Linked DNA regions of Elephas maximus indicus. The protein of the gene in region 4 interacts with the protein of the main gene of each other region in a pairwise test. Links are inferred from orthologs where the notes say so. Each region holds a gene or a part of one and is shown on either strand. Other genes may lie near its edges.

What was found.
Region 1: the proteins of JUNB (region 4) and BATF3 interact in binary tests that used the Homo sapiens proteins (3 or more experiments, as listed by UniProt). The link is inferred for Elephas maximus indicus from reciprocal best matches to the Homo sapiens genes JUNB and BATF3.
Region 2: the proteins of JUNB (region 4) and BATF2 interact in binary tests that used the Homo sapiens proteins (3 or more experiments, as listed by UniProt). The link is inferred for Elephas maximus indicus from reciprocal best matches to the Homo sapiens genes JUNB and BATF2.
Region 3: the proteins of JUNB (region 4) and ATF4 interact in binary tests that used the Homo sapiens proteins (3 or more experiments, as listed by UniProt). The link is inferred for Elephas maximus indicus from reciprocal best matches to the Homo sapiens genes JUNB and ATF4.

What each region holds. Positions count from the first base shown.
Region 1 is NC_064842.1:1,338,697-1,345,690, reverse strand, and holds the start of BATF3 (basic leucine zipper transcriptional factor ATF-like 3), read left to right. Parts: upstream 1-3,991; 5' UTR 3,992-4,014; coding exon 4,015-4,092; intron 4,093-6,912; coding exon 6,913-6,994. UniProt on the Homo sapiens protein: AP-1 family transcription factor that controls the differentiation of CD8(+) thymic conventional dendritic cells in the immune system.
Region 2 is NC_064825.1:128,185,762-128,192,740, forward strand, and holds the start of BATF2 (basic leucine zipper transcriptional factor ATF-like 2), read right to left. Parts: upstream 3,004-6,979; 5' UTR 2,845-3,003; coding exon 2,825-2,844; intron 2,113-2,824; coding exon 2,040-2,112; intron 1-2,039. Other genes in the region: ARL2 (ADP-ribosylation factor-like protein 2), read left to right, coding at 3,157-3,221, 6,325-6,435, 6,521-6,683.
Region 3 is NC_064822.1:183,485,762-183,493,065, reverse strand, and holds ATF4 (cyclic AMP-dependent transcription factor ATF-4), read right to left. Parts: upstream 2,686-7,304; 5' UTR 2,497-2,685; intron 1,823-2,496; 5' UTR 1,731-1,822; coding exon 1,505-1,730; intron 1,422-1,504; coding exon 586-1,421; 3' UTR 504-585; downstream 1-503. UniProt on the Homo sapiens protein: Transcription factor that binds the cAMP response element (CRE) (consensus: 5'-GTGACGT[AC][AG]-3') and displays two biological functions, as regulator of metabolic and redox processes under normal cellular conditions, and as master transcription factor during integrated stress response (ISR).
Region 4 is NC_064821.1:31,491,402-31,497,998, reverse strand, and holds JUNB (transcription factor JunB), read right to left. Parts: upstream 2,333-6,597; 5' UTR 2,041-2,332; coding exon 997-2,040; 3' UTR 506-996; downstream 1-505. UniProt on the Homo sapiens protein: Transcription factor involved in regulating gene activity following the primary growth factor response. Binds to the DNA sequence 5'-TGA[GC]TCA-3'.

The DNA of each region.
Region 1 (6,994 bases), on a different chromosome or scaffold from region 4:
ACCCTCCCATGGGGCTTTGCCTTTGCCCTTCATGCCTCACGAGCCCCTTTCCACCAGATGTTCCCGTGGTTCACCTCTTTCAAGGAAACCTTGCTCCACCTCCATATTCAAAAATGCAAACCTTCCCTCTACTACTCCCTAGTGCTGGTCACTGCTTTCATGTTTCTCATAGATCGTACTGCTAACTAACATGCTGTGTTTGCTCATTGTCCGTCTCTCCCTTCTCTAGAGTAAGCTCTGTGAAGGTGTGGATCTTTGCTTTGTTCCTTGTATCCCAGTGCCTAGAACCCTGCCTGGCACACAACAGCAGGGTAGACACAGTGGTCTCTGCCTTAAACTTTCTATTCTCTAGTCCCACCGGAAGCCCACGGGACCACCCTCTGAGAAAGAGTAGTGAAAGTTCAACTACTGAAAAGGCAAAGGTGAAATGGTGACCAGGTTTTCTAGCCTTTGAGTCACATTTTTTAAACAACTGTTTTCTTGTGAAGGGAATCACCAAAGAATGTGGTCACTGAGCTGTAAACCTCCTCTCTCTATCCCCAAAGTTGCACTCCAAGGTCATTGTGGTATTAATAGGAAATCGCCAAATCATATAATTTCTCTTCTCAGTTCAAAGGAAAAAAGCACAAGTAAAAAGAAAAGGCAGAGGAGGAAAAGGTGACATTTGAAATGTCTGGGCTTGTTTATCTTTTCTTCATTTCATTTTTCTTTCTCCTTTTGACTTAAAGGTGATAAAATGAGCCAGAAAATACAACAGAAAAACAAGAGGATTCCACCTGGTCAGAGCATTGTTGCCATTCTGGGATGACAACTGACCTTAGCGTCAAGGAAGGGAATATCATCTGTAAATAAAAAATGTTTAAAAATGTTAACATAATAAAACAAAATTTCAAAAAGTTTTAAAAAACAGACAAAAGAAAATTACGTATAAACCCACCACCATGAGAGAAAAGCTACTGTTACCTTGGTCTTTTGGTCTTTTCTCATATGTATACATTTTTATATAATGTTACATGTGTCATATTTTTACATAATGTTACATGTGTTATACATGTACTATTGTATCCTGGTTGTTTTTCTTACTTTACCTGATAGCAAATCAGTCTGTCATGTAGTAAATTTGTCTGCATGCTTGTAATTTTAAAAATGTACACTATTCTACCCAGTGGCTGCACCATGTTTTATTTAGTTATTCATCTACAATTGGACATTTATGTTGCTTATAATTTTTCACTCTTAAGAATGTTATTATGTATATTTAGTGCAATAGTATTTTTCTCATTATTTTCAACTATCTTCCTAGGATTTTTTTTAGATGTGGGAGAACTGAGTCATAAGTGGTGTCTCTCTTTTGGTTCTTGAAAGCTACAATAAAATTGCATTCCAATAGATTTGCACCAATGTGTAACAATGCTAGTGAAATACAAGAGTAATAATTTCACCACACGCTCACCAGCATTTGACATTATAACCTTTTGTTTTGGTAATTCAATATTTGAAAAATTTCTTATTTTAATATGTGTTTTTCCTATCTCTATTTTTTTTAACTCCATTGAGAAATTCCAGTTCATGTCACTTGAGCAATTTGCCTTTGGGGTTCGTCCCAATATTTTTCTTATTTCTTTCTATGACCTATAGATCCAATAGAGATCTTAACCCTTTGTCATGTTTATCATGAATATTTTTCCTAGTATATTTGTTTTTAACTTCTGGCTATTTTGTCGTCTAAAACCGTTTAACATTCGTATACAGTCCAGATCTTTCCACCGGGATTTCTTCATGCCTTAGTTTTTTTTAGTCTTAGATAATTCTCTCCTTGTGGTCTTATTCCCAGGGCTTTAATAAGGATTTAATTCTGTTTTATCTCCCTAATTTTATTTTCTATATCTGACTGCCTAATCCATTAATTTTGATTATGATATGTAGGTCAAATTGATCTGTTCCTTAAACACTAAGCAGTTAATCGACTCCTCCTTGGAGGTATGTGAAGGTAGCCTTGCCTAACATGACAGCCCAGGCCATGCCTAAACGGAGAGTCCCTGTGTGCCGGGACAAGGCCCAGGCTCCCGGGGCAGAGACAAGCAGGTACAGCCACAAATGCCTTAGACTGTGGTGTGGTTAAGTAAGAGCAGAAAACCGACACCAGCCAGAAGGAAGCTGGGAGTGCACCTAACGTCTGCTCCGGGCTTTGCCTGCCCTTTCTGTTCTTGAACACCTTGCGGGGGGGGGGGGGGGGATGGGGGGATGCAAGCCCTGCTCAGAATTAACCACCACTCGCCCCAGAGGTTTTCCTAACTTGTTAGAGTCTTTTTAAGTTTCAAGAATGTGGGCTCAGCTGAAACACGCTTCATTTGTCAGTAAATTGAGCACCTGCTGTGTGTAGCATGCTGCACAAGGCGCCCTGTGTGTACCGGCGTGGGATACAAAAGTAACAGCCCAGGAGCCTCCATGGGGTATGTTCGGTGATGAAATACAAGGGAGAGGCGAAACCCAGGCAACAGAGCCGAGGAGAGATGGCTCCGCTCTGCTTCCCTTGACCTTGTAGTGGGTGGCACTGTGGCTGTAACGGGCTGTGTCCCCCGTGCCCTCCCGCTGGCTGCCTTGCATCTCCGCCCTGCGTTCTCAGGACCCCTGCTCACAGACATCTCCGCTCGCTCTCCTGACCTCGGCCAGACAGCCAAGTTCACCGAAGCACCGTCTCGAAGCTTTCGAGAGTGTCTTCGACCTGAAGGAGAGCTAGGGGCACTGGGCTGAGGTCAGAGTCCGTCCCTGCGCCTGCCGCACTCTGAGCCCGAAGGACTAACGACCACACCCGGACAGCACTTCTGAGTTCTGGTCGGAGTTCCCGCCCCCACCCCCCGGGTTCGCGGTTATCTTTCTCTCCCGGTGCTGACAGCATCCAGACCACAAACCCGTAACCGCTCGTTAGTTCTTTGCTGGGACCATGTACGATTTTGTCTTGACGTCGCCTCTTTTAACTGGCAGGCGGGTGGAGGGGAAAGCACCGCGCACCTCCACTTCACTCCCACTTCGGCACCGGCGTGGTGACAGCCACGCATCTTGACCTGTAGATCACTTTGATCTTGAAAAAGAAATAAGATCTGGCGCGTTTAACGTTAGCGTGGGGGGGGCCCGGATCCCCAAACCTGTCAACGGTGACGTCCAGTGAGGTCAATGTCACTGTTTCTCTTGGGACAACCGGCCCCCTCTCCCTGGGAATTCACCCTCGGGGCCTCCCCGTCTGCTCCCTCCCACAAGCTCGGCGGGGCTGGTGAAAAGAGGGGTGACCCTCAGGGTGCGCGGTGGGACTTGGTGAAGCCGGCTGGTCCGTCTCCATTCCCTGCACCTCCCAGTTTGGGGAGCCGAGGGCCGAGGAGGGCGTGAGGGTGGGGAGGGCAGCGCCTCGGGCGCCAGGCTGACTAATGGCTGCGGAGAAAGTCCCGGGACTGTGAGCGGCTGGCGAGATGTGACGGATGCGCAGGAAGATGCTGTGATGGGACCGGGAAAAAACCACCAAGCCAAACCACCCACTCGTGTTTTTCAGCCCGAGTTCCTCAGGGGCGGCCGAGGGACCCCAAAGGCTGTGCCGCGCTGCGCCTCCCTAACCCCCCATGCCCACCCCAGTGTAGCCTCTTGCGGGTGGGCTTCGCGTTCCCTCCGGGTTTCGGAGCCACCACGTGACTTCCACGAAGCGCAGGGCCCCAGCGGAAACCTGCGCCCGGGGTGGGATTGGGACCCCGAGGTGCGGCGAGAGGGCGGGAAAGGAGGAAACGAGGCGGGGTGGGAGAAGGAGGGGCGGGCCCGGCGTGGGGACGGGCAGGACGAGGGCGGACCTTGGGGTGGGGAGCCCCGGGACCGCGCGCCACGGCCGCCGACAGGGAGAGCGGGAAGCCCGCGGGGGCGGGGCGGAAGGGGCCGGGCGGCCGGCAGGTGCCGGGGAGCCAGGATGCCCCGGGTGGGAGGGTCCCCGTAGCAGCGCCGGGGGCAGGGCGGTCGGGCCGAGGAGCGCCCGGCATGTCGCAAGGGCTCCCGGCGGCCGGCAGTGTCCTGCAGAGGAGCGTCGCGGCGCCCGGGAACCAACCGCAGCCGCAGGTAGTGCCAGGGGCCCCAGGAGTGGGGGCGCCCGGGGCGCGAGGAGCTGGGCGCTGGGTTCCGGGGTGGTGGCTGCTGGGGTGCGGGGGTGGAGGGCGCTCCGGGAGACGAGCGGGCGGGAGGGCGGACCAGGGGCCCCTGCGTGCGTCTCTGCCCAGCCGCCCTGGCGCACTCACGGTGCCCGCGGGGCCTGGATGGGGAGCCGGCTCTTGCGCCCCGGGCGGGGAGAGGAGGCAGGACGCCGACGCCTGGCTGGCCCAGCCCGGCCGCGCTCCCCGCACGTGGGCTCCACGCTGTCCGGGGCGCCACTGCCCCACGGCCTGAGCGCCTAGCCCTTCCTGGCCACTCCGGGTGAAAGCCAGGGCGTGGAGAGGGGAATTCGGCCGGGGAGGCTGCTGGCGCCGAGCCACTCCCAGCACACGCTCCAGTTGCGGGCGGAATGGGGAGCGTGGGGTGGGGGCCCCCGGCAATGGACGCAGGCTCCACCCCCTCCACCCCCAGCGCTAGAGGAAACCCCTCGTCCCCGTCCAGTCGGTTTCGGCGGCGATGTCCCAGGCAGCTTTTACAACCGCGCCCGCGGGAAACGGACAACGCTGCGCTCAGGCAGGGCCGTCCGCCAGCTTTGCTTCCAGTGAAGGACCGAGACTGGGTCTTTTCATCTTTATGGCGCCACCGAGCGCCGTGCCTGGCACATAATGTCATCGGTGACTTTAAGTCTCAGAGATCTAAGTTCAGGACTCGGCTTTGCCACACACGGCCTGAGTAGCCTTGGGCAATTTGCTTAACTTCCCTGAGCCTCGGTTTCCCCATCTGTAAAATGAATATAATAACATCCACCTTTCAGGATTTTCGTGAGGATTAAATGAAATATGGTTAATAGTTATATGACTGTCTCAGTATGTTCTGTCTTGATTTTTTGTTTCTTCTGCTGGGTTGTCAGGTGTGGACAGCTACGTGGTTAAGCCCAGGTCGAGGGTCAGCGCCCAGAGGGCAGGATGTGGGCTGCCTCACTGCAGAGTGACTAGTGCCCCATGACTTAGGATGATGGGAAGTGAAGAGGCAAAATTTGGTGGCAAGCCCTGTGGCAGAGGCAATAAAAAACAGCAGCAACCCCGGCAGAGGCAAGTGGCCTATTGAGGGCGTGCTGTGTGCTGGAAGCTTGAAGACAAAAATCACGTGTTATCTTATGAGCCCTAGCAGTGGGCTGCCAGCTTGGAAGCCCCATGAGATCACCCACCGTCTGTTCAGGGCTTGTGCCTAGAACACTGGCTGGCAGGCGGTAGGTGCTCAGCCAGTATTTATTGAAAAAAAATGAATCACACTTACAATAGATGAGGGAATTGAAAATTGAGAGAATTTAAGCCATTTACCCACCATCATATTGGTAGTAAGAGGCACCACCAGGGTGTATGTTATTCTAAAACTGAAGTTCTGCCCTCTACACCACATTTTCTCACTCCTTTTCTTTCTCACACTTCTTGAGTGTCTAACTGTGGTGTCCTGGTTATGATTACCAAGTCTTCTTTGCCCCTAGAAGCTTTCATTTTTACACTTTGTCCTCTTAAGCACTGTCTCCAGACCACTCCTATTTGTTCTGTGTGTTATTTTCTTCCCCTTTTACACTCTTACATACTCACATTCACTGAAAATCTCTTTACCTGCAGTAACTTGGAGGGATGATGTGTGTCTCACCTATTTGGAATACAGGAGTAGATAAAATGATCATTTTGTGTTGTTAGTGTTTTGTTTTCTATTAATATTAATAATTGAGTGTCTTTCCTGTATTTGTGCTCCATTTTGGGTAACCTCTTGGTTTTTAGATTTCTTAAGGGTAGCGCTTTTTCCCTCCCTGCCCCCCTACCTTGGTGTGTTCTCACAGGGTCTGGAAAGCAAATACTATTCTGCTTCTGCATGTTTTCTGTAACGGAGTGACGTGTTTTCATCATGGTAAGCGCATTTTTCTGCCTGCCTGTTTCATGATAACTCTTGCAGGATTTGACTAAGTTTGGCTAAAACTCATATAAAAACTTTCAAGATACATTGAAAATTTGCTTTCTGATTCACTTTGACTTCTGAAACAAAATGGAAGCCAAGCATTGTTCACATGAGCACGTTGTCTGTTGGTGGAGTTATGTGGTTGCATTTAGTTGTAACCGTGATCTGCATACAGTATAAAGGCACCTGTTTGTGCGTGATGTGGGGAAGCCTGGCACACAGCAAGTTCCAGGTGCTCTCTGCTTTCCCAGTCTTGGATGAGCACCACAAGTCTTCCTGCACACGCCCTGGAAAGGTTTACGAACATTGGTTTGGAGCCCAACAGACCTGAGTTCCACTTCCCACTCAGCCGCTTACTAGCCATGATACCTGAAGCAAGTTCCTTAAGCTCTCTGAGTTTCTTATTCCTCATCTTTCAGATAGTGGTCAGACCACCCATTTCTCAGGGTGGTTGTGGGGATTAGCAGCTAAGCCTGGTGAGTGCTTCTTAACAAAGAGCTAGAGTTATCCCAGGAGCCCTGGTAGAGCAATGGTCAAGAGCTTGGCTGCTAACTGAAAGGTTGGTGGTTTGAACCCACCCAGTGGCATCCAGCAGACCTGGTGATCTGCTTCCATAAAGATTACAGCATAGGAAGCCCTTTGGGGCAGTTCTACTCTGTCACATGGGGTCACTATGAGCCGGAATTGACTGGACAACACCTAACAAGTGCTGCACACTGCAATAAATTGGTGAAGCGTGACTGGCAATGCTGAGTGAAAAGAGAAAGCAGAGAGGGGTGAGGTGAGGAGCCTCAACTTCACATCTGACCAAATGCTTTCCCCCAGAGTCCAGAAGATGATGACAGGAAGGTCCGAAGAAGAGAGAAAAACCGTGTTGCTGCTCAGAGAAGTAGGAAGAAGCAGACCC
Region 2 (6,979 bases), on a different chromosome or scaffold from region 4:
AGGCTAGAAGTCTGAATTCAGGGCGTCAGCTCCAGGGGAAGGCTTTCTCTCTCTGTAGGCTCTGGAGGAAGGTCCTTATCATCAGTCTTCCCTTGGTCTGGGAGCATCTCAGCACAGGAACCTCAGATCCAAAGGACGCACTCTGCTTTCTTGGTGGTATGAAGTTCCCATGTCTCTCTGCTTACTTCTCTCTTCTATAACTCAAAAGAGATTGGCTTAAGACACTGTCTAATCTTGTAGGTCTCATCAATATAACTGCTGCTAATCCGTCTTATTACATCAGAGTGATAGGATTTACAACACATACGGAAATCACATCAGATGATAAAACGGTAAACAATCATACAATTATACAAGGGAATCACGGTCTAGCCAAGTTGACAGATACTTTTGGGGGGCACAATTCAACTCACGACACCAACCAACTGGAGGAGAGCCATATTTATGCCTATTCCAAAAAAACGTAATTCAACAGAACGCAGAAATTATCCAACAATATCATTAATATCACATACAGGTAAAATATTGCTGAAGATCATTCAAAAGCGGTTGCAGCAGTATATTGACAGAGAACTGCGAGAAATTCAAGCCAGATTCAGAAGACGACATGGAAATAGGGATATCATTGCTGATGTCATATAGAACCTGGAGGAAAGTAGAGAACACCAGAAAGATGTTTACCTGTGTTTTACTGACTATGCAAAAGCATTCAACTGTGTGGATCATAACAAATTATGGATAACATTATGAAGAATGGGAATTCCAGAACACTTAATCGTGCTCATGAGGAACCTGTACAAAGACCAAGAGGCAGTTGTTGGAATAGAACAAAGAGATATTATGTGGTTTAAAGTCAGGAAAGGTATAGGTTAGGGTTGTATCCTTTCACCATACTTATTCAATCTGTATGCTGAGCAAATAACCCCAGAAGCTGGACTATATGAAGAAGAATACGGCATCAGGATTGGAGGAAGGCTCATTAACAACCTGCGTTATGCAGATGACACAACCTTGATTGCTGAAAGTGAAGAGGATTTGAAGCACTTACTGATGAATATCAAAGACCACACCCTTCAGTATGGATTGTCCCTCAACATAAAGAAAACAAAAATCCTCACAACTGGATCAATAAGTAACATCATAATAAATGGAGAAAAGATTAAGTTGTCAAGGATTTCATTTTACTTGGATCCACAATCAACACCCACGGACGCAGCAGTGAAGAAATCAAAGGACGCATTGCATCGGGCAAATCTACTGCGAAAGACCTCCTTAAAGTATTTAAAACCGAAGATCCTCCCTTGAAGACTAAGCCATAGTGTTTTCGATCGCCTCATATGCATGTGAAAGCTGGACAATGAACAAGGAAGACTGAAGAATTGATGCCTTTGAGTTATGGCTTGGTGAAAATATTGACTATACTACGGACTGCCAAAAGAAGAAACAAATCTGTCTTGGAAGAAGTACAGCCAGAATGCTCCTTAGAAGCAAGGACAGGGAGACTTCGTCTCACATACTTTAGACATATTATCGGGGGGATCAGTCCTTGGAGGAGGCCATCATGTTTGGTAAAGTAGAGGGTCAGCGAAAAAGAGAAAGACCCTCAACAAAATGGACTGACACAGTGACTGCAACAATGGCCTCAAGCATGACAAAAATTCTGAGGATGGTGCAGGACCAGGCAGTGTATCCTTCTGTTATGCATAGGGTCTCTATGACTTGGAACCGACTCAAGGGCACCTAACAAGAACTCTGCTAGAAGTCCCTGGATGGTACAAATGATTAAAATGTTCAGCACCTAATGGAAAGGTTGAAAGTTCCAAGTCCACCCAGAAGTGCCTCAGAAAAAAGGCCTGGCACTCTATTGCAAAAAGCCAGTCATTGAACACCCTATACAGCACAGTTCTACTCTGACACACAAGGGGTCACCAGGAATCAGCATTAACTCCCCATCAACTGTTTGGTTCCTTTGTGCTGTCTACTCACACTTACCCTATAGTGAACTTGTGGAAGGGCTCAAAATAACACACGAGACTCACCCTTCTGAGCTTACAATCTGCTTGCTTCCTGGCCTCAGTTTCCTCAGTTTTTCTGGATCTCTTGGGTACTAAACTAAGGGAAAGAACCAAACTGTTGGACAAAGTCACTCATTCAACAGCAACTATTTATTGAGCATCTACTATTTGCCAGTCACTGTGGGCCTCAAGAAAACCCTGGTTGTGTAGTGGTTAATGTTTAAGTGCTACCGCTGCTAACTAAAAAAGGTCAGCAGTTCCAAGAATCCACGAGGCACTCCTTGGAAACCCTATGGGGCAGTTCTACCGCCCTATAAGGTCGTTATGAGTCAGAATCGACTGGACAGCAGCGAGTTTTTGGTGGGCCTCATTTTTGTCATCAGCAAACGTGAGATTGTTTTTCTTCAAAGGGAAACCATGGGCTCAGGCGGGACAATTCTTGTGAGGGTCTGTCCCCAGCATTGCAGGACACTACCTACTATCCCTGCTTCCCACCGTCTAAACGTGGGGGAATCTTCCCTCCGTCGCTGAATCAACCCAAAACACGCAACCCCACCCCACCCCGCACATTTCCAACGGTCCCTAGGGACCAATACCGGCATTCAGGAGCCTGGCAAGGGGGAGGCCCAATTCCTGTTCCGTCATTGGCAAATTTAGGATGACACCAAGGCCCCAAAAGAGCGGGATCTGGACCACGTTTCCGGGTAACAGGCCCTTACACAGCCTCCAGGACAGCCCCAGGTCATGAGGCTCTCGCTTCTGACTCCTGGGTCCCCGGCTGGCCACACCTTTTTGCAGGTACTCCCTACCTGGCCAAGATCCAACCCATGAACTTCAGGTTTCCGTTCCCGGCCGAGTTTTTGGGTCCTGGGAGGACGGAATAGACTCGCCCTCGCCCCCAACTGTCGGCCCTCGGGACGCGAAGGGTTAAGGCAGGTGGCCGCGCAGAAGCCGCGCCGCCGCTAGAGGGACCCCAGCAGAGACACAGCGCGGCCGCTCTGAGGTCACGTGGGGCAAGGGCGGGCCCAAAAAGGGCTGGCCAATGGGCTGTGCTGTCGCTGGGCGTGATAGCCAATAGGAGCAAGGAGCGGGGATCCCAGGACTAGGAAGAAACGGCGGCCGGGAGGGGGCTGCTGGGATCATGGGGCTTCTGACCATTCTGAAGAAAATGAAGGAGAAAGAGCGGGAGCTGCGACTGCTCATGCTGTATCCTCCCGGACGGCGGAGCCGCTAGGGTAGTGGGGTCCCAGCCGGGGGGCAGTGACAGACGCCCCCTACCGGGCGCGGGGTGCGCGGCCGGCCAGCTCGTACCAACTGCCCATTGTGCGTCACGCACGTGGGCCCTACCAATCGCTCGGGCTGGGGCCGAGAGGAGGCCGTACCATCGGCTCGGGGAGGGGGGACTCCAGTCCAGAGGCCAAAGGTGTGGGCCTAAAGGCGCAGCGGAGGGACCAGGCGTCCCAAGCGTAGCGGGGCGATAGGGCCCGGAGGTGACTCAGACGTCACCGTCCGGAGGCCTGGCACGAGCGTGGGACCGCTGTCCTCCCGGCTCTGACCTCTTCCCCCCTGTCCGAGGGTGCCGGCCCCGGCCCCGCCCCCAAACTCGGAATCCCGGGGACGCGGCCCCGCCCTCTGCTCCCGGGGGGCGAGGGTTGGTTCCGCTGGGCGGTTTGCTTGCGGGCTAGACTGTGTGTGACACCCCGCGGCCCCTCGGTGTCCCCGAAGCTGAGGACTTGTTAGCCCCAGGGTCCCTGCATTCATTCACCCTACTCTGTGTGGCGCAGTGGTAAAGAGTTCCGTCGTTAACCAAAAAGGTTGGCAGTTCGAATCCACCAGCCGCTCCCTGGAAACCCTATGGGGCACTTCGCGCCTTTCCTATAGGGTTACTATGAGTCGGAATCCACTGGACAGCAGTGGGAGTTTTACACTGTGCCGGGCCACGTGGGGCATCTGAGACCCACTAGTTGGGCCAGCAGAGAAGTCGCTTATGCGCGCAAATAATTTAAAAATATGCCCGCCGTGTTCATTTTAAAGATCCCGGAGAAAGGCGCAGAGAATTCACTCATTCAAGAAATACGTATTTATGGAGCGCCTCCTGTGTGCCATGTTTGCTAGGTAAAACAGCAAAACAAAGTTCTGTCCTCTTGAATGTTATAGAATGCCTGAGGGGAGAAAGATGATAAAACAAATAAAATATTTTTTGTGGGGAGAGAAGAATGCCGTTAAAATAGGGTGAGCCAAGAAAGGCTCCTGGAGATGACGGGTGAGTAAAGTGAGGGGTGAACTGTGTAATTACCTGGAGAAGACTAGTCAAGGCAAAGACAAGGGCAAGTGCAAAGGGCCCAAAAGGAACTCAGCTGGTGCGTTCAAGGGCAGTGTGACTGGAGAGAATGAGCAGGGAAGAGAGCACTAGAAGATTAGGTCAGAGGTGTCTGGGGAAGACAGTCCAGGCAGGGTCTTGTACAGAGGAGAAGAGTGGTCTGACTTTGGCTTCTGTGTTGCAAATAGAGGACATGGGTTAAGGGCAGAAGGGGGAGACCAGTTAGGGGTCAATCACGATAATGAGAACGAGATAGGATGGTGGCTTGGATCAGAGTGGAATCATCATAGTGATGAAGTAGGAAGGTAATGAGAGAGCAGGCAGGAATTGCTCCTGGATTGGCCAACGGTGTGAGAAAGCAAAGTCAAGCCTGACTCTTGGCTTTCTGGCCTGAGCAATTAGAAGAATGAGGAGCCTAGCTGACAGAGAAGACCAGGGCAGAGCAGGTCGGGACAGGGATGGAAGCTGAGAGCTCACTTGGCCATGTGAGATGCCTCTGAGACATCCCAGGAATGTCAGGGAGGCAGCTGGGTTTTGGGACAGGTGACCAGGGGAGCAGCTGGGCGAGAGGCATCAATTTGGGAGTCAACAGCATAAAGATGGTATTTGCAGTCAGGATCCTGGATGAGCTCACCTAGAGGGTGAGTGTGACAGAGAAGAGAGTGAAGTGTACTCCGTCCAATCAAGAGATCAGGGTGATGAGGAGGAGCAGCCAGGAGATATGAGGAGGCCCCAGCGAGGACATGTCTCAGAGCAAGGGCAGCATGGGTCAGGGAGTGAGAGACAGGCAGGTCTGTCAGGTGCTGCTGGTAGAGCTGGAAGATGGGAACCAAGCACCGACCAGCCATTGGAGAGCACAGTGGAGGTCTCTGGGGACTGACCATGGCAAGAGCAATTTTAGGGAGGCAGAGGGAGCAGAAGCCTGATGGAAGTGGGCTCTAGAAAGAGCAAGAGGGCAGATTGGGGAGAGTGATGGAGGCAGCGTTTCGAGGAGCTTTGCTGTAAAGGGAAGGAAATAAACAGCTAGCTGGAGAAAGGAGAGGGAACAAGAGAAGGTTTTGTTTGCTTTTTCTAAGCGGGGAGTAACAACAGTGAGGTTGTCAGCTGATGGGAATGATCCCGTGTGGAAGGAATCATGGATGATGCAGGGAGAGGGGAGAAATATCAGCTGCCAGTTATCAGGGGCCGTGGCTGGGTTTCAGGGCAGGTCCTCTCATCACCCCATTTCATGGCTTGAGTCACTTGCCCCAGGTAAGGTGAGCAATAAGAGGCTGAGCCCAGGGCCTGTGTCCCTCCACACACACACACACGCACACACACACACACACCACACACACACCACACAGAGCTACAAGTCCCCGTAAGTGTTGGAAGGAAAGAGGAAGGTTGTCTCTCCCACTTGGGGAACTCACCATTCCTTTGCACACTCATTCAGCAGTAAAGGGTTTGGTACATTCCAGAAACAACGAAGAAAGGGTAGGTGCCCCCAGTTATTTGCTCCTGCTGTTCCCTCTGCCTGGAATGCCCTTCCCCAGTCTTTCAGAAAACTGACTCCTTGTAGTTCGGGCCTCACCTCAAGACACCTTCTCACAGAAGGTGACCTTCTCAGAGCCTCATCATTGGGTTTCTGAAGCTCACCAGCATCTTAAGTTTCTCACTGGTTTGCACTTTTTCAGCTGTCTCCTTGCTCAATTGTGAGCTGCCCAAGGGTGGGGACTTTGTCCTCTTATCTGGGGTGCCCCCAGCATCCAAAAGGGGGCCTGGCATGTAGTAGATATTCAGTAAACATTTGTGGAATGAATTAAGGGATGACAACACCCACCTTGTCGGTGAAGTAGAGATGATAAGATGTTTATTTCTTGATCCTTCATATTTATCGTGGGTCGATGGCAGGCCAGGCATGTGCTCAACTGACTTTGATTTGTGGTGAGTGACAATGCCACCAATCTGCAGAGTGTGAGCACTTCTCCTTAATCCGGTGTGCCCCAGTGGCCTGGACAATGCTGGCAAAACAACCATCCTGAAGAAGTTCAATGGGGAAGACATCGACACCATCTCCCCGACGCTGGGCTTCAACATCAAGACCCTGGAGCACCGTGGGTGAGCAGGATTTCGGCGGGCGGGTGGGCAGGGAGGGTGGGAGAGGGGCTGGGCTGACCCTCCAGCTGCCCCCTCCCCTGCCCAGATTCAAGCTGAACATCTGGGATGTGGGTGGCCAGAAGTCCCTGCGGTCCTACTGGCGGAACTACTTTGAGAGCACCGATGGCCTCATCTGGGTGGTGGACAGCGCCGACCGGCAGCGCATGCAGGACTGCCTACAAGAGCTCCAGAGCCTGCTGGTGGAGGAGGTAGGCAGGGGCCTGCCTGGGCGGGGGGCTTCCACCAGATGCTCGGAGGGCTCCAGGACCCCAGAGGGTCACTTAGGGCCATACCCTGGTCCTTCACTGAGCACCCTCGGGGAGGCAGAGACACACCTTTCACTTGATTCAGGGAAGCCCATGGTGCTGTGGGCAGGGCACATGCTGTGGACCGGGACCTGGGGTCATAGCCCTGTGCTGTCACCGCTTCACAGCTCTGAGCTTCAGTTTCCACACCTTGGAATGACAGCCACATTATCAGATGACTCATGGTCAGTGCATGGAGC
Region 3 (7,304 bases), on a different chromosome or scaffold from region 4:
CCATTCCACTCCACCGCATTGGGATTGGTCATTTGAGACAATTCTCAGCCCTCCAGGCCCACTTTAAAATCTGAAGCCTTTTGTCTGAACAGGTTCCCTTCAGGGAAACAGCTTACAGAGCTGGCAAAGCTTAAAATACAGCCAAGGTTGTGTCAACAAGACCAGGAAGTTCTGCCCTCCCAGCTGTCCCGTAAGTCCTGAGGGCTAACTCTCCAGCCCCACCCCAATGGGTTACTGGTAAGAGAAACCCTAAGAGTTCAGTTCCAGAAAAACACCCAGCCAGCTGTTGGGCTCAAGCCCAACTCTTTGCCTGAAACTCGGGGACCCAATGGAAACCATCACCTTCCATGACCCACCCCACCCAAACAGCCTATCAAACCTGTGATCCTCAGTAATGATCTCACCCACCCCTGGACCCCATGAAGGACCAGAACCCACTCCTGGAAGGGTTAAGTGAATCATTTTAGCCACAAATCAAAAAAACTTACGATACACAGCACATCTACATAAGTACTTTCACTACAAAATAATTTATTACAACACAGCTTCAGCGCAAGCCTCCTATATACAAGCACCCGTTCCTGACTACCCTAGGGAATCCCTTTTCTTCCCCCTGGCCCTGCGGACCTCTTCTATCAAGTCTTTCAGATACTGGATCTCCTTGGCCAGAGAATCCGCCCTCTCCTTCAAAGCCTCGTTTTTCTTTTCTAGCTCCTTACACTCATCCGTGAGGGCCTCCTGCTCTGCCCTCTTTTTCTGACGGTACCTAGTGGCTGCTGTCTTGTTCTGCTCCATTTTTTTCAGTTTCTTATCCAATTTCTCTCCCTTTACTTTTGCTGCTACCACCTTCTCTCTAGGAGGATCATAAGGTTTGGGGCGAGCAGAGCCACCGAGAGCAGGTGGAGACAGCAGGCTCCTATCTGGAGAGCCCCCAGAGGTGGAGGGGCTGTGCTGGGGAGATCCTGGACAGGATTCAGGGCTCATGCAGATGCCACTGTCATTATCTGAAGGGGCCTCCTCCTCTTTTATGCACTGAGGGACCGCGGTAACATACAGAAAAGAATCTGCCTTTCTATCTCCTTCGGAAATATCCACTTCACTGCCGAGCTCTAAACTAAAAGAATGGTCTGGAGTGGAGGCCAGGACTCCGGGGCAATGGGGCAGAGGTTGCAGGAAGGTCAATGGGGCAACCTGGTCAGTTTGGGGAAAACTTTCTGGGAGATGACCAATTGGGTTCAATGTCTGGGGGGGCTCATTCGTCTCCTGGACTAAAGGGTCTAAGAGATCACAGGTGTCATCCAACGTGGCCAAAAGCTCGGCTGGCATAATTTCCAGGTCGTCTAGACTCAATAGGGCATCGAAGTCAAACTCCTTCAGATCCATTTTCTCCACCATCCAATCTGTTCCGGAGAAGGCATCCTCTACAAGACACAAAAAAGTGGCATCAACTCTCCCCAAGCACAAGTGACCCAGACCACGCCGGGGGATAAGGACAGCCACTCACCCTTGCCGTTGTCTGAGGCATCGACCAACCCGTCCACAGCCAGCCATTCGGAGGAGCCTGCCTTAGCCTTGTCCCTGGAGAACCCATGCGCTCTGCAGTGCTTGGCCACCTCCAGGTAGTCGTCTAAGAGACCTAGGGTTTCTTCAACCCCCAAACCCGACTGGTCGAAGGGGGACATCAAGTCCCCCACCAACACCTCGCTGCTCAGGAAGCTCATCTCGGCCATAACGCGGGGCCTTGCTGAAATCGAGGAATGTGCTTAATTCGAAGGTGTCTCTGTCGGTTACAGCAATGCTGCTGCTGAATGCCGTGAGAAGCCTGCAAGGAGCCGGGAACGAAGGCCCATCAGACACGGGCTCGTCTGGGAACCTCATCGTTCTGCCCTGAGACAGGACGGCCGCGTGGGAAGCCCGCTTGGCTTTGGAGAGTGGGGCGCACGTGGCCTCGGAGGCACCGAGCACCCTTGGCTGCGTCCCGGCTCAGCCGGCCCCGCCGCGGGGTGAAGGCCCTCTCCGTGCTGCCCAAATACGGCCGCCGCCCCGCCCCGGGGAAGGCGCTCCCCGCGCTGCCCAAATCCGGCCACGGCGCCCCGCCCCGGGGAAGGCGCTCCCCGCGCTGCCCAAATCCGGCCACGGCGCCCCGCCCCGGGGAAGGCGCTCCCCGCGCTGCCCAAATCCGGCCACGGCGCCCCGCCCCGGGGAAGGCGCTCCCCGCGCTGCCCAAATCCGGCCACGGCGCCCCCGCCGCGCCCCGCCCCGCCCCGCCGCCGCCATCTTGGCTCCTGCCACGTTCGCCGGCCGACGGCGCCGGCCGCTCCCCCCGACCCAGGGCGCCGGCGTCTCGGGGACACCCAGCAGGGCTCCCGCGGCGCCGGCGCCTCGTAAAACAGCTTCCTGCCCCCGCGACGCCGCCCGGCCCCAGGACCGCGCCCGGCCCAGCCACGTCCGCCCGGCCCGGGACGCCCGGCCAGCGGGCCCCACCCCGGTACTTACGCCATGGCTTAAGCCGCTGGGGGGTGCCGCTGCAGAGCCTGGTGCTGCTGCCGCCGCTGCAATGGCCAACGCTGCCGCAGGCACTGCTGCCTCTAATACGCCATGACGGCTGCGGACCCTGCGGGCGGGGAGGGAAGGCGCGGGCTACGTCTCTGCTCTACATCTGAAGGCGGGAGGAGAAATGGCCGCCGCGCCCTCGCGGGCCCTTTATACACGCCGGCGCGGGCCGCACCACAGTCATGTTCCTCCGCCCTGGCCACGTGACCTTCGCCTCTTACCTCCGAGGTTTCGCCTATCTGACTCCCTGATCTTTTCCAACCCACGGTCTTTAGGTCCAGGACGTAACTGTAAAAAGAAAATGAGCTATTCTCAAGGCCTCGCGAAAAGAAAGAGGCGCACTACTTTACAAGGCTGCTAAGATTAGACGCTCGGCGCCCCGGAGAGCGGAGGAATCCCTCGGTCGCCTCGCTTCCGGAGTCAGCCGAGGGGCGGGGACAGAAGCCTCTCATCCCAAGCCGCCCGGTTATCGCGCGAGATGCTGGCGGGAGCGCGCGTCGAGCTGATTGGGCCTGGCATGGAGAGTTACACGTGTCTCGGGCTCCCATTGGATCAGGACGAGGTGGGCGGGCTGCTCCGTGACGTAGCCCAGGCCCGCGCGGGAAGGGCCAGAGCTGTCAGCGCGGTTCCCGCCGCCGGCCTCGGCCCTTCGCTGCCCCTTCTCGGAGACGCGCGGCTGGGGCGGCCTCTCAGTCCGGGCCGCCCAGCACCCACGACCGCGCCAGCACCCGTCTCCGGGCAGCTGTAGCCCAGGGCGCCCCAAACAGTGGCATTAGGGCCCGGCCCCTTCCCTTCCTCATTGACGTGACGAAACAACGCCAGGCCGGGCTCTTTGTCCCCAAGTTCCTCCGCCCATCTTTTGTTCTGTTTGTACACATGGGGTTGACTTCCCCCCTGGAAGGGCCCTGGAAGTTACCTAGTGCAACCCTTTATCTTGCCGAGCGATCCCACACGGACAGCTGACTGTCCGCTAGAGATAACCACTAATAGCTAATAAAATTGCCCCCAGAAATAATGGGGAGCCTTGTTGCTACAGCAAAGAAAAACGGCAAACAAAATGTTAACTGCAATAAAAATGCTTTGAGGCAATGACATGAATTCAAGAGAGACAAGAGCACCCGGGGCCGCGGGCATCATTCACTGACTGGCTTCTGGTGGGTCCTCTGCGGGCTCCGAGGGAGTCCCTAGGATAAAACTATGTCAAAAGGGAAATGTCATTACATATGTGCATTCACTACTGCAAGCCCTCCAGTAGCTGAGAGGGGCGGGGAGAGGGCGCTAAATCTTCGGACCTCAGTTGGGAGATCACTAGACCCACGCCCCCCTACCGTCGAGGCCCAGCGCGAAGTCCTCACCCTCAACTCCTTGTGCGTAACTTTATCGCCCAACCTGTGTTTTACAATATCCATTCTGCTAAACTGTGTTTGCCACTCATTTAAAAGTATGCAGTCAAGCAGGAATTTCTTCCAGTTTATGCAGATGCAATTCCTCTGAGAACACGGGGAGACTTTATTCACCTGGCATCTCTCGCACTAGGATAGTTTCAGTAACTCCCAGTTCTGTCACTCCCAAGCATGACCAACTTCCCACGAAGTCATCCTAGTGACCCTGTGAGGAGAGAAGCTTGAGAACCATGTCCCTTTGCTGGGGGTTGGTGTGTTTGGGTGCGGCTGTCTCAGTCTGGGCCAGCGACTTGCTCTCTATGATGGAGCTGTAGAGTGCTGGGAAACCTCCCAACCGTGCCCTCATCCCCTGCCTGCAGCAGAGGCCTGGTTTCCTCCTCCATTCATCAGTGTGCCATATAGTTATTTCTACCACGGCTATGATGTCAAAAAAAAAAAAAAAACACTTGGGAAGCACTGTCCTGGAGAACTACAGACCATTTTTTGACTTGATTCAATCTAGCCCAACAAATTTTAAACAATACTAAACTGAGGCCTAACAGGATGAGGCATCTTGCCCAGTCACCCAGCTCCCACTAGAGGCAGTATGTAGTTTTTTTTTTTTAAGTTGCTATCAAGTCAATTGATGTGTGTCAATGGATGATTTTTCAAAGTAAGCCTTTCTTCTGAGGCACCTCAGGGTGGGCTTGAATCTCCAACCATTCAGTTAGCAGCCAAGCGCATTAACCATTCCCACCACCCACGGACTCCAGGGTAGGGGTTAAAACCCGAAAAATCAAACCTGTTGCCATCGATTCTGACTCCCAGCAACCCTTTAGAACAGAGTAGAACCACCCCATAGCGTTCCCAAGGAGCGCCTGGTGGATTTGAACTGCCGACCTTTTGGTTAGCAGCCGTAGCTCTTAACCACTATGCCACCAGGGTTTCCGGGTGGGGTTAGAAGACAGATTTGGGAGCCAAACCGAAAAGAATCCTGGCTCTACTATTACCTGGGACACTTTGGCTAAATGACTTAACCTCTGTGAGCCTCAATTTCCTCGTCTGTAAAATGAGGCTGCTGATGGTACCTATCCTCTGAGGATGAAATGAGGTCATACAGGTAAAGTACGTGCCTGCTTCACGGTCAGTGCTCAGTAAATGGTTGCTATTCTTACTATTAGAACTCAGGTCTTGGGATCCTGACCTCCCAGTCTCTCTGCCCTTATCTCCATTGTATCATCCTGCTTCCTCAGGGGACTTCACTATTCTTTACTGACAGATGAAACCAAGGACTATTTTTGAAGCATCAGAGATATGCAAGGAATACTAGATGCTGGGATAAATGAGTGGTTCTTCCTTCCCCTTGGGAACCATGAGTGCTGAAATACAGGAAGTTGTCGAAACTTTCAGGCAAAGCCAGCGAGAGCCCCTGAGCCCTTATACAATCTTCTAAAGAGTAACTAAGGGCCCCTGGGGAGTGTCCTCCTCTTGCTCTATCACAAGACTTCTCGTTGCCTCCGGCCTGATGATCATGCAGGTGCCTGAGACTTAAGTGAGGCACCCTAGTGGCGTGGTACAGTGGTTAAAGCACTCAGCTGCTAACCCAAAGGTTGGTGGTCTGGACCCACCAGCTGCTCCATGGGAGAAAGATGGGACAGGCTGCTTCTGCAAAGATTTACAGCCTAGGAAACCTTATGAGGCAGTTCTACTCTGTCCTACTGAGTTGCTATAAGCCAGAATTGACTTGACGGCAATGAGTTTGGTTTTGAATTTACTGAACACTGCCCTAGTTTTGGCACTGCAGAGGCCATGGCAGAATGACTCCGGTGGCAGCCTGTCCCATCCATTCTATTACAGAGACCCAGGTCAAGTCCTTCAAAGGTTCTCACTGAAAATGGAGACCCAGTTCCACTCCCAGAGGAAAATGTTTCCTGCCACGCACACAAGTCAAAGCTGTTGCAAAGTTTTATTTTCTTCTTCCCATGCTGTGGAAGGACATCATGTTCCCCAGCTGTATTTCCTCCCTCAAGGAGAAAAATAGTGATTCTCTGGGCCTCAAGGCTAAGCTGTTCCTGCATGGACCTGGCCAAGCCAGGACAGAAAGACTGGTGATAGGCTCCAGACTGACCAGCTATACGTATCAAATGCACTGAAGGAGAGCCAAGTGACTACAAGGCAAGTTGTGGACTTGGTCTCAGGACCAAGAATTTAAAGTCACAATGAAAAAGTAAACACCAACCTGACTGTAGTTACCCGAGAATAACCCCTGGTATTTTGGTCACTGTGTTAGTCCAGCAGTGTCTAACAGGGCTACAGCCTCACAGCCCAGTGCAGGGTCAGCCTTTGCCTAAATATCTCTTACCCTGTCTGTTAACTTCAGGAAGGAAGGGCAGAGCTCTAGCAAATCCTCTGAGTGAAGTTCACAGCCAGGGCCCTAGTCCTAAGGACCTTAGCAGAGCAATCTGGACACATGCAAGGTTCCCCACCTGGAAAATCATCTGCAGGGACCCTCCAGGGCCCTTTGATCCTAAACCTGATTCCTCATCAAAACCACTTGAGCTCTCAGCTTGAGTGGAGAACACGGGAGCAAAATCAGCTAATCTGGCGTGTGAACACAAGTTTACCAAACATAAACTTTGACATTAATTTATTAAAGAAAAAAGCCCCAACCAATTGTAAAAAGAAAGAAAGATATCCACTGTTCTGAGCTCATTTTTTAAGAAGGGGCAACAAGGAAGAACCAAAAAAACCTTTGATAGGGTTTTCAGGATAATAACGAGTGTCTTTTTAAGCCTGAGGCTCACTGTGTGGTTTGCTAACCTAAATGGTGCACAAACCCTCCAGACAGCAGGAGCAGATTCTGTTACTTCAGGCAAAGATAGGGGTTACTGAATAAGGAGGCAGAGCAGGGGAAAGCCACTACCATCTGTAACTAAAGTTTGAAAAAACAAACAAGGCAGAACAACGTCGCCCTCTTCCATCCAAGAATCTCAAAACGCTTAACCATCTTCCACCTTTTATGAGGAGGAAAATGGCAGCAAAGAGCGGCTTGCCCAGTCCCAATCAGCAAACCCTCCAGAACAGGCCAGAAGTGCCAGTGGGTGGAAATTCTCAGGACTTCTAAGAGGTTCTTGCTCGTAAAGTGACAAAACTACGGTGTTTGATTTTGTGGCTGACGTGGTTAGATGACAGAGGCATTCTCAGAAAGGCGCTCTTTGTGAGAGGAGGTAAACTCATTTCCCTCCCTACAATCACAGCTACACTTGGCCTTTGATAATTTAGTACTCAGTCTTAAAAATTGTTTCTTTTTTGAGCTCTCTTTCCAATGTGTTCTGTGGAATGTGGGAAAAGTGTAGGTTTTATAACGCT
Region 4 (6,597 bases):
CGGGGCCCGGGAGCGCGGCCCGCCCACCCCGGGCGCTCTGGACCCAGGCCTGGGGCTTTCCGGGCCCGGGCAGACGCCTGCCCGGGAAAATCCCGGCCCCCTTCCCGGCGCTGCGGCCCTGCCCGGCAGAGCGGGGGAGGGGATTCCCGGAATCTGCCCGGAGACCGCCAGCGCGTCACTGGGCAGAATCGGTCCATGTATGGGCAGCGCTTCCGCTGCGTCAGCGGGGAAAGCCCCGGCGCGCGGGGCTGGGCGGGCCGCGTCTGCGCACTTCGCGTCGCGCCCTTGGGACACTGACCGCGTCCCGCACCTTCCAACCCCCGGGGACCACCAAGCTCAGGATATGAGGGCCGGACCGCTAGGCTGGGACATTAAGATGGCTGGACAGGGCTGGAGAGGGGGATGCAGGCACTGGAGTGAGCCCCAAACAGCGGTGGGGTGAGGGCCGCCCAGTACTCTCCTCCCTCCGCCCGCCCGGCTTAGAAAAAAAGACTCCAGAAATTAATAAAGAACTATTTTTTTTTTACTTAAATAAATTCAATAAAAAGTCAGAACAATAAACGCACACACACACACAAACACATCTTAAAATAAACCAAGCGTGTTTCCACTCCACAGTATAGTGCAGAGGGGGGAGGGCAGGGGGCGAGGTCCCCTCCCCAGTGTCCCCGCGGGCTTGAGTACCAGGCAGCGGGGCCAGCTCCGCCGCCATCGCCCCCTCCTCCCCTCCCTGTTAAATACACAAATATATTATATTCAATATGAATTGAGTCTGTTTCTAGAAGAGAAAAAAAAACATACAAAAACGTGGAAGGGGCAGCTTGTAAACGTCGAGGTGGAAGGATTGGGCGAGAGCCAGCAGGCCAGAGTCCAGTGTGGTTTGTGGCGCCCCTAGGCCCCGGGGCCGGTGTCCACGCCTGCCTCCTCGCCCCCCCTGGGAGGCGTGCGCCCAGCCGTCCAGGCTGGAGGGGGTGTCCGTACATAGCGGGGAGGCGCTCAGAAGGCGTGCCCTTTGACCCCGAGCAGCAGCTGGCAGCCGTTGCTGACGTGGGTCATGACCTTCTGTTTGAGCTGGGCCACCTGCTCCCGGAGGAGGCCGGCAGTGTTCGACAGCCCCGCGTTCTCGGCCTTGAGCGTCTTCACCTTGTCCTCCAGGCGCGCGATGCGCTCCAGCTTCCGCTTCCGGCACTTGGTGGCCGCCAGACGGTTCCTCAGCCGCTTGCGCTCCACTTTGATGCGCTCCTGGTCTTCCATGTTGATGGGGGACACCGGCGGCGTGGCGTCGCGGCTGCGCGCCTCCGGCACTGTCTGTGGTTCCTCCTTGAAGGTGGAGGCGCCACGGCCCAGGCCCAGCTGCGCAGGGTGGCCGCCGGCAAACGGCGGCGCGTGTGGGAGGTAGCTGATGGTGGCCGTCGGATACGAACTCCCGGTCCCGACGGCGGCCCCGGCGCCGCCAGAGGGTGCAGACGCCGGGGAGAAGCTGCTGAGGTTGGTGTAGACCGGAGGCGGCTCCGGACCCGCGTAGACGCCGCCGGGCCCGGCCGGGGGACCTCCGCTGGCGCCCAGAGACACGTTGGGGGGCGTCACGTGGTTCATCTTGTGCAGGTCGTCCAGGGCTTTGACAAAACCGTCGGCGAAGCCCTCCTGCTCCTCAGTGACACCTCCCCCTGCACCCCCTGCACCTCCGCTGCTGCCACCCCCGCGGGGGTAAAAGTACTGTCCCGGTGGCGTGGGCGTCGTCGTGATCACGCCGTTGCTGTTGGGGACGATCAGGCGCTCTAGCTCCGACGAGGCGAGCTTGAGCGAAGCGCCCGAGTCCGAGCCCTGGCTGGAAAAGTAGCTGCTGCCTCCGCTGCCCTCTGGTCCGGGGCCCCGCGCCCCGGCCGCTTTAAGGCCTCGGTAGGGGTCGGCCAGGTTGAGCGCCAGGCTGGGTTTCAGGAGTTTGTAGTCGTGTAGAGCGAGGCCGCCAGGGGCCCGGCCATAGCCCGCTGCTGCGTATGAGTCGTCGTGGTAGAAAGGTTGTTCCATTTTAGTGCACATCCGGGCGGCCCGGCGGGCTTGGGGGCGGGGGGGGTGGTCCCTGCGGGGCCGCCCGGGGCCTCGCTGCAGCGACCGGTGCGCTGTCCGCGGCGGTGACCGGACTGATTGTCGGAACGCGCGTTCCCGGCGACTGGTTCGGGCGGGGAGCGGCCAGCCGGCGGCTGTGCGCGAAAGCTCTACCCAGCTTCCCGTGTCCTCCTCGCCCTCTCTAGTGCGCTCGCTTTCTCTGTGTCGCTTGCCCCCGCTCCCCGTTCCCTGAAGATTCCGAAGGTGGCCTGGCCGCGCTCAAGGTCCCGGCCGCTGAGCAGAGAGGCTGGTCTTTATATGAGCTGTCAGCTGCGGAAGTGCGCTCGGATTGGCGGTCGCCCGAGCCCGGCCCCCGCGCCCCCCTCTTCGAGCGTGGGGAAGGGGAGGAGGCGGCTCGCGTCACTGTCAGGAAGCGCGTGTCCTTGTAAACAGCGGCCATGGGCCGTGTGGCTCGGCGCGGCTGCAGGGGAGGGGCTGGGGGACCCCGGAGTACGCGAGGAAGGATCTGCTGGGGGACACGAGGCATCTGGGGGAGGGGCTGAGAAGGAGCAATGGCTCCCTTGGAGTACACCTGAGAAAAAGGAGGACAGGGTACAGAGGAAGTGGGGGCGGGTATCCCAGGGTGTAAGCGAAAGGCCTGAGGGACCCGAAGTATTCCAGAGGGGTTGGGACTCTGATAATACCCTGGGAGCCCAAAAAAACAAGGGGAAGAGGGTTAAAGCGAGTAAATGGGAAGGGGTGGGGAAACGCCTGGCACAGGAATTGAGTGGGGGTTCCGGAACTTTTCACAGGAGGGACTTAGAAAAACGAAGAAAGGCAACGCTTAAAAAGGATACAAGAGGAGAAGCTGGAGGACCCATTATACCAGAAATGAGGAGGGATGCTGGCATCCATGGGACAATCTGAGGGCCCTGCCTAAGTGGGGGAGGAATGAAGATGGGGAAATTTAGATATGCATAAAGGGATGCGGGTCCTCGGGTACAGTTGGCCAGGGAAAATACGTGGAGTAGAAAATGGAATATGTCTGTCAGGGGCACTAGGTTGGGGAGTCACCGGGGTAATCTGTGAAGCCATGATGGAGAGTTAGAAGGGTTGGAACATATATTCAAATCAGAGGACAATGGCAGGAGGGTCCCCAGCTGAGATGTGCGAGGAAGGGGCTCCCAGGATCCTGGGGACTAGGCTGTGCCGAATCTTCCATGACTAGCGCAACCCCATTCGTAGTGACCCATCGGCGCCCGAATACTCTGTCCCCAGCTCCATGGCCTCCCCCATTGACCCTGGGCTTGCCCTACACCGTGTCAACTTCGGAGCCTGGACCCAGCCCGATGGCCGGGGCGCGGTCGCCCAACCCCACTCCCTTCCTTAGAAACAGGCTGGGGAAAGAGCGTGGCGGCAGGAAGTGTGGCAACAGCCCCCGGGGAAGGAGCCCGGCCCTGCCTCCGTCACTCGTATCCTACCGGACCGTGCACCCCGCCCTGGGTCTGGCCGGGTTCCGTGCCTCAGAAGAGGAACCTGGGCTTGAGACCCCCGCCGAGGCCCGAGCGCTCGGGGCCCGCCCAGCCGCAGAGAGCTCCTATTATCTTCCCCCGCCCCCAGCAGTGGTTCCGCTCGCGGCGCCTGCAGACGACTTTCAAGGCAAAACGGAGACCTTTCCATTATCCCGACGGAGGGGGGCGCAGCCCGGGAGCGGGGCTTGGTCGCCATGGTAACGGCCCGAGTCCGCCAGCAGGGACTGGGGGCGGGGCCGCCCGGGGAGTAGCTCTCCCCGAGGCCCATATAAGGGCACAGGAAGGGGTGGTGCCAGCGCTGTCCCGGGGCCGCGAGCCAGGAGTTAGGAGCACCAATATCTGCCAGGTCCCAGGGCGCGCCCGGGCCCCCGGACTGGCTAGTCCCGACCAGCCCCGGCCACCGCCCCCGGAGCCCCCACGGCCGCCTAGCCCGGCCCCGCCCAGCCGCTGTGGGGCCGCGTCCTGCCAGGCTGGCCCGGCCCTGCCCAGCCCAGACTGGCAGGTCCCCGCCTGCCAGCGGGCCTGGGTCGAACTTCGCTCCCGGCCCGATGGGGCGCGGAGGAGGCGGGCCGATGCCTAGAGGCACCCCTGGCGCCTGGGCAGGCTGGCACGGCTGCCTCCTCCCTTGGGCGAGGTGCCCTTCCCCTCTGCCGGGAGGTCTGGGCACCCCCAACACACACATTCCTAGGGGCTGGGATGCCCCTGCCTCCCTCACCTAGTCAGTGGGTCCCATCTATAATACCTGGAGGGAGGCCCCTTCCTCCCCAGGATGTCTCCCTCCATTGAGGGCCCCCCTCTGCCACCCCAGTCAGAGATGAGCTGAAAATCCAAGGGGAGAATCACAGAACCAGCACACCTTCCCCAGGAAGAACTGGGTATAGATTCAGATGGTGAGGATTCTAGCTAGACTTAAAGTGGGACTTCCAAGCAGTTAGGGTATGAGCCACTAGAACAAGAGGCGAGAAGCCCAGACTGGGGAACTCAGGGGAAAAGCTTTCTTTCTGTACCTTCCAGGCCTGTGTCTTCTAGAAGGGTGGAACTTTCTCTGGGGTAGAAAGGCTGAGTCTGAGGGACAGGGGCTGGCAGACCTTCGTGGGGCAGGCACCAAGCTCGCCCAGTGTGGGGGAGAGAAGGAAAATGAAAGAGGCGAAAAAGAAACTGAGCTGTATGGGGACAGGGGAAAGTCCAGCAAAGCAATGGCCTTCGGGAGGAAGATCCCATGAGAAGGTGGGGGTGTCCCTGGCTCTGAAGGGTCCCTGTGACCCCTAAATGCCCCCTCCCCCTTACCCTTGTGTGACTGCTCCCCTCCCCCGCTCCAGTCTCAAGGGAGATTCCAGCCGCTGTGTCTGGCGGGCTTGCTGCCAGGCCTGTGTCTCCTGCCCGCCCATGCTAATAACTGCAGCTGACATCTGGCCGGGCTCTGTGGGGGTGCATCAGGCAGCGTTGGGGGGCTGGGAAGGCCAAGGCCAGAGGGCAGCACCTTGGGAAGCTGACCTGCAGGTCCCACAGACCAGGAGGCTACAGTGAGTTAGCCCAGGCCAGCCAATGCTGAGACAGCCCACGCCAGGGGAGTCCAGCAGAGAGGCAAGGCTCTGCCAGAGAGGGTCAGAGATGGAGGGCAAATCTCAAAGGACAACCAAACAAGGAGAGTGGGCACATGGGGGTGAGGTATCAGGGCAGGGAGAGATGCCAGAGAGACAAATGGGAGCAAGGTTAGCTTCACAGAGACAGAGAGACTCAGAGACACTTAAGATAGGTAGACAAACTTAAAAATAATGATTATTTTAATAGCTAACACTTATACTGTGCTTACTTATATGGCCAGGCACTCTTCTAAGTGGTTGACATGTAGTAAGTCATTAAATGCCTCCAACAACCCGGCAAAATATATGCTATTTTTATCCCCATTAACAGAGGAGAAACTGAGGCAGCCAAGCTTAAGGAACTTGCTCAACGTTCCACAGCTATAAGTGGTAGATATAACCCAAGATGTCTGGCCCCAAAGCATTAGCCACTGTCCTGTAGATAATCAAAACCAGAGAGAAAAACGGTCAGAGAGTGAAGGATGGGGAGAGGGGCAACCAGGCAGGAAGGGGACCTTCGTGGAGTGCCAACTGTGGGGCAAGCTCTGCAGGCCCCTTCACAAAGGGCCTCCTTTAATCTGGAGAGAGATGGAGTTGGGCACAGGGAGAGTGGGTGAGGGTGGGTGTGTACCGGCCAGCATGGGGTCGCTGGATGCACCCTGCTCAGGTGTTTGGGCAAGGGGTGGGGTTTGGGCCATGGAGCCAGGGTGGGGGCCCAGCCAAGCTGGTACAGCTGGTTCCAGGCTCCTGCCAGTCTCACCCTTGTGGCCTGGGCACCACCCCCTCACGCCGTCCCACTGGCGCCGAGGCCAGCTCCCTGAGGAGGTCGTGAGGCTAGCCCCCTCCCCCAGCTGACCTGGATGTGGGTACTGCCCAGGTCCTGGACTCCACACCTGCATCTGGCTGAGCAGTCTGTGCCCAGGCTTCCCCCATGCCCAGGGACCCAGGGCCTGGGGGGCAGAATAAGAGGAAGTTCACCCACCCCCACCCACGGGTCTCTCTGGGGCTTTTGGCCTTGGCATGAGAGACTTCCTTCTTATAAATAGCCTGATGACCCCCTCCCCCCCGGCCCCACTGACCGACAGGGCCCCCACCAGGAAACTGGGCCTGGGGCTGCCCTGAGTCAGGCAGTGGGCAGGCCAGGGCGAGAAGCCACAAGCCTCGGCACCCAGCCTCTTGAGTCCCTGCCCCTGGGTGTGGACAGGCAGCTGGGCAGGAAGAGGCTGAGGATCATGGAGGCCTCCCCCAGGAACCCCTGGCCTGCCAGCTACCTCCCTCCAATGTGGTTTGGGGGGTTCAAGGTGCAGGAAGCACCCCTCACCCCTCTCCAGGAGAGGAAGCTGCTGGGTTTTCTTGGAAGCAGGAAGTAGAGTTGGTCTCCTCAGGCTGACTCAGCTGGGCATGGGGGGAGTTTCCCACAAGCTGGTTCTGCCTGC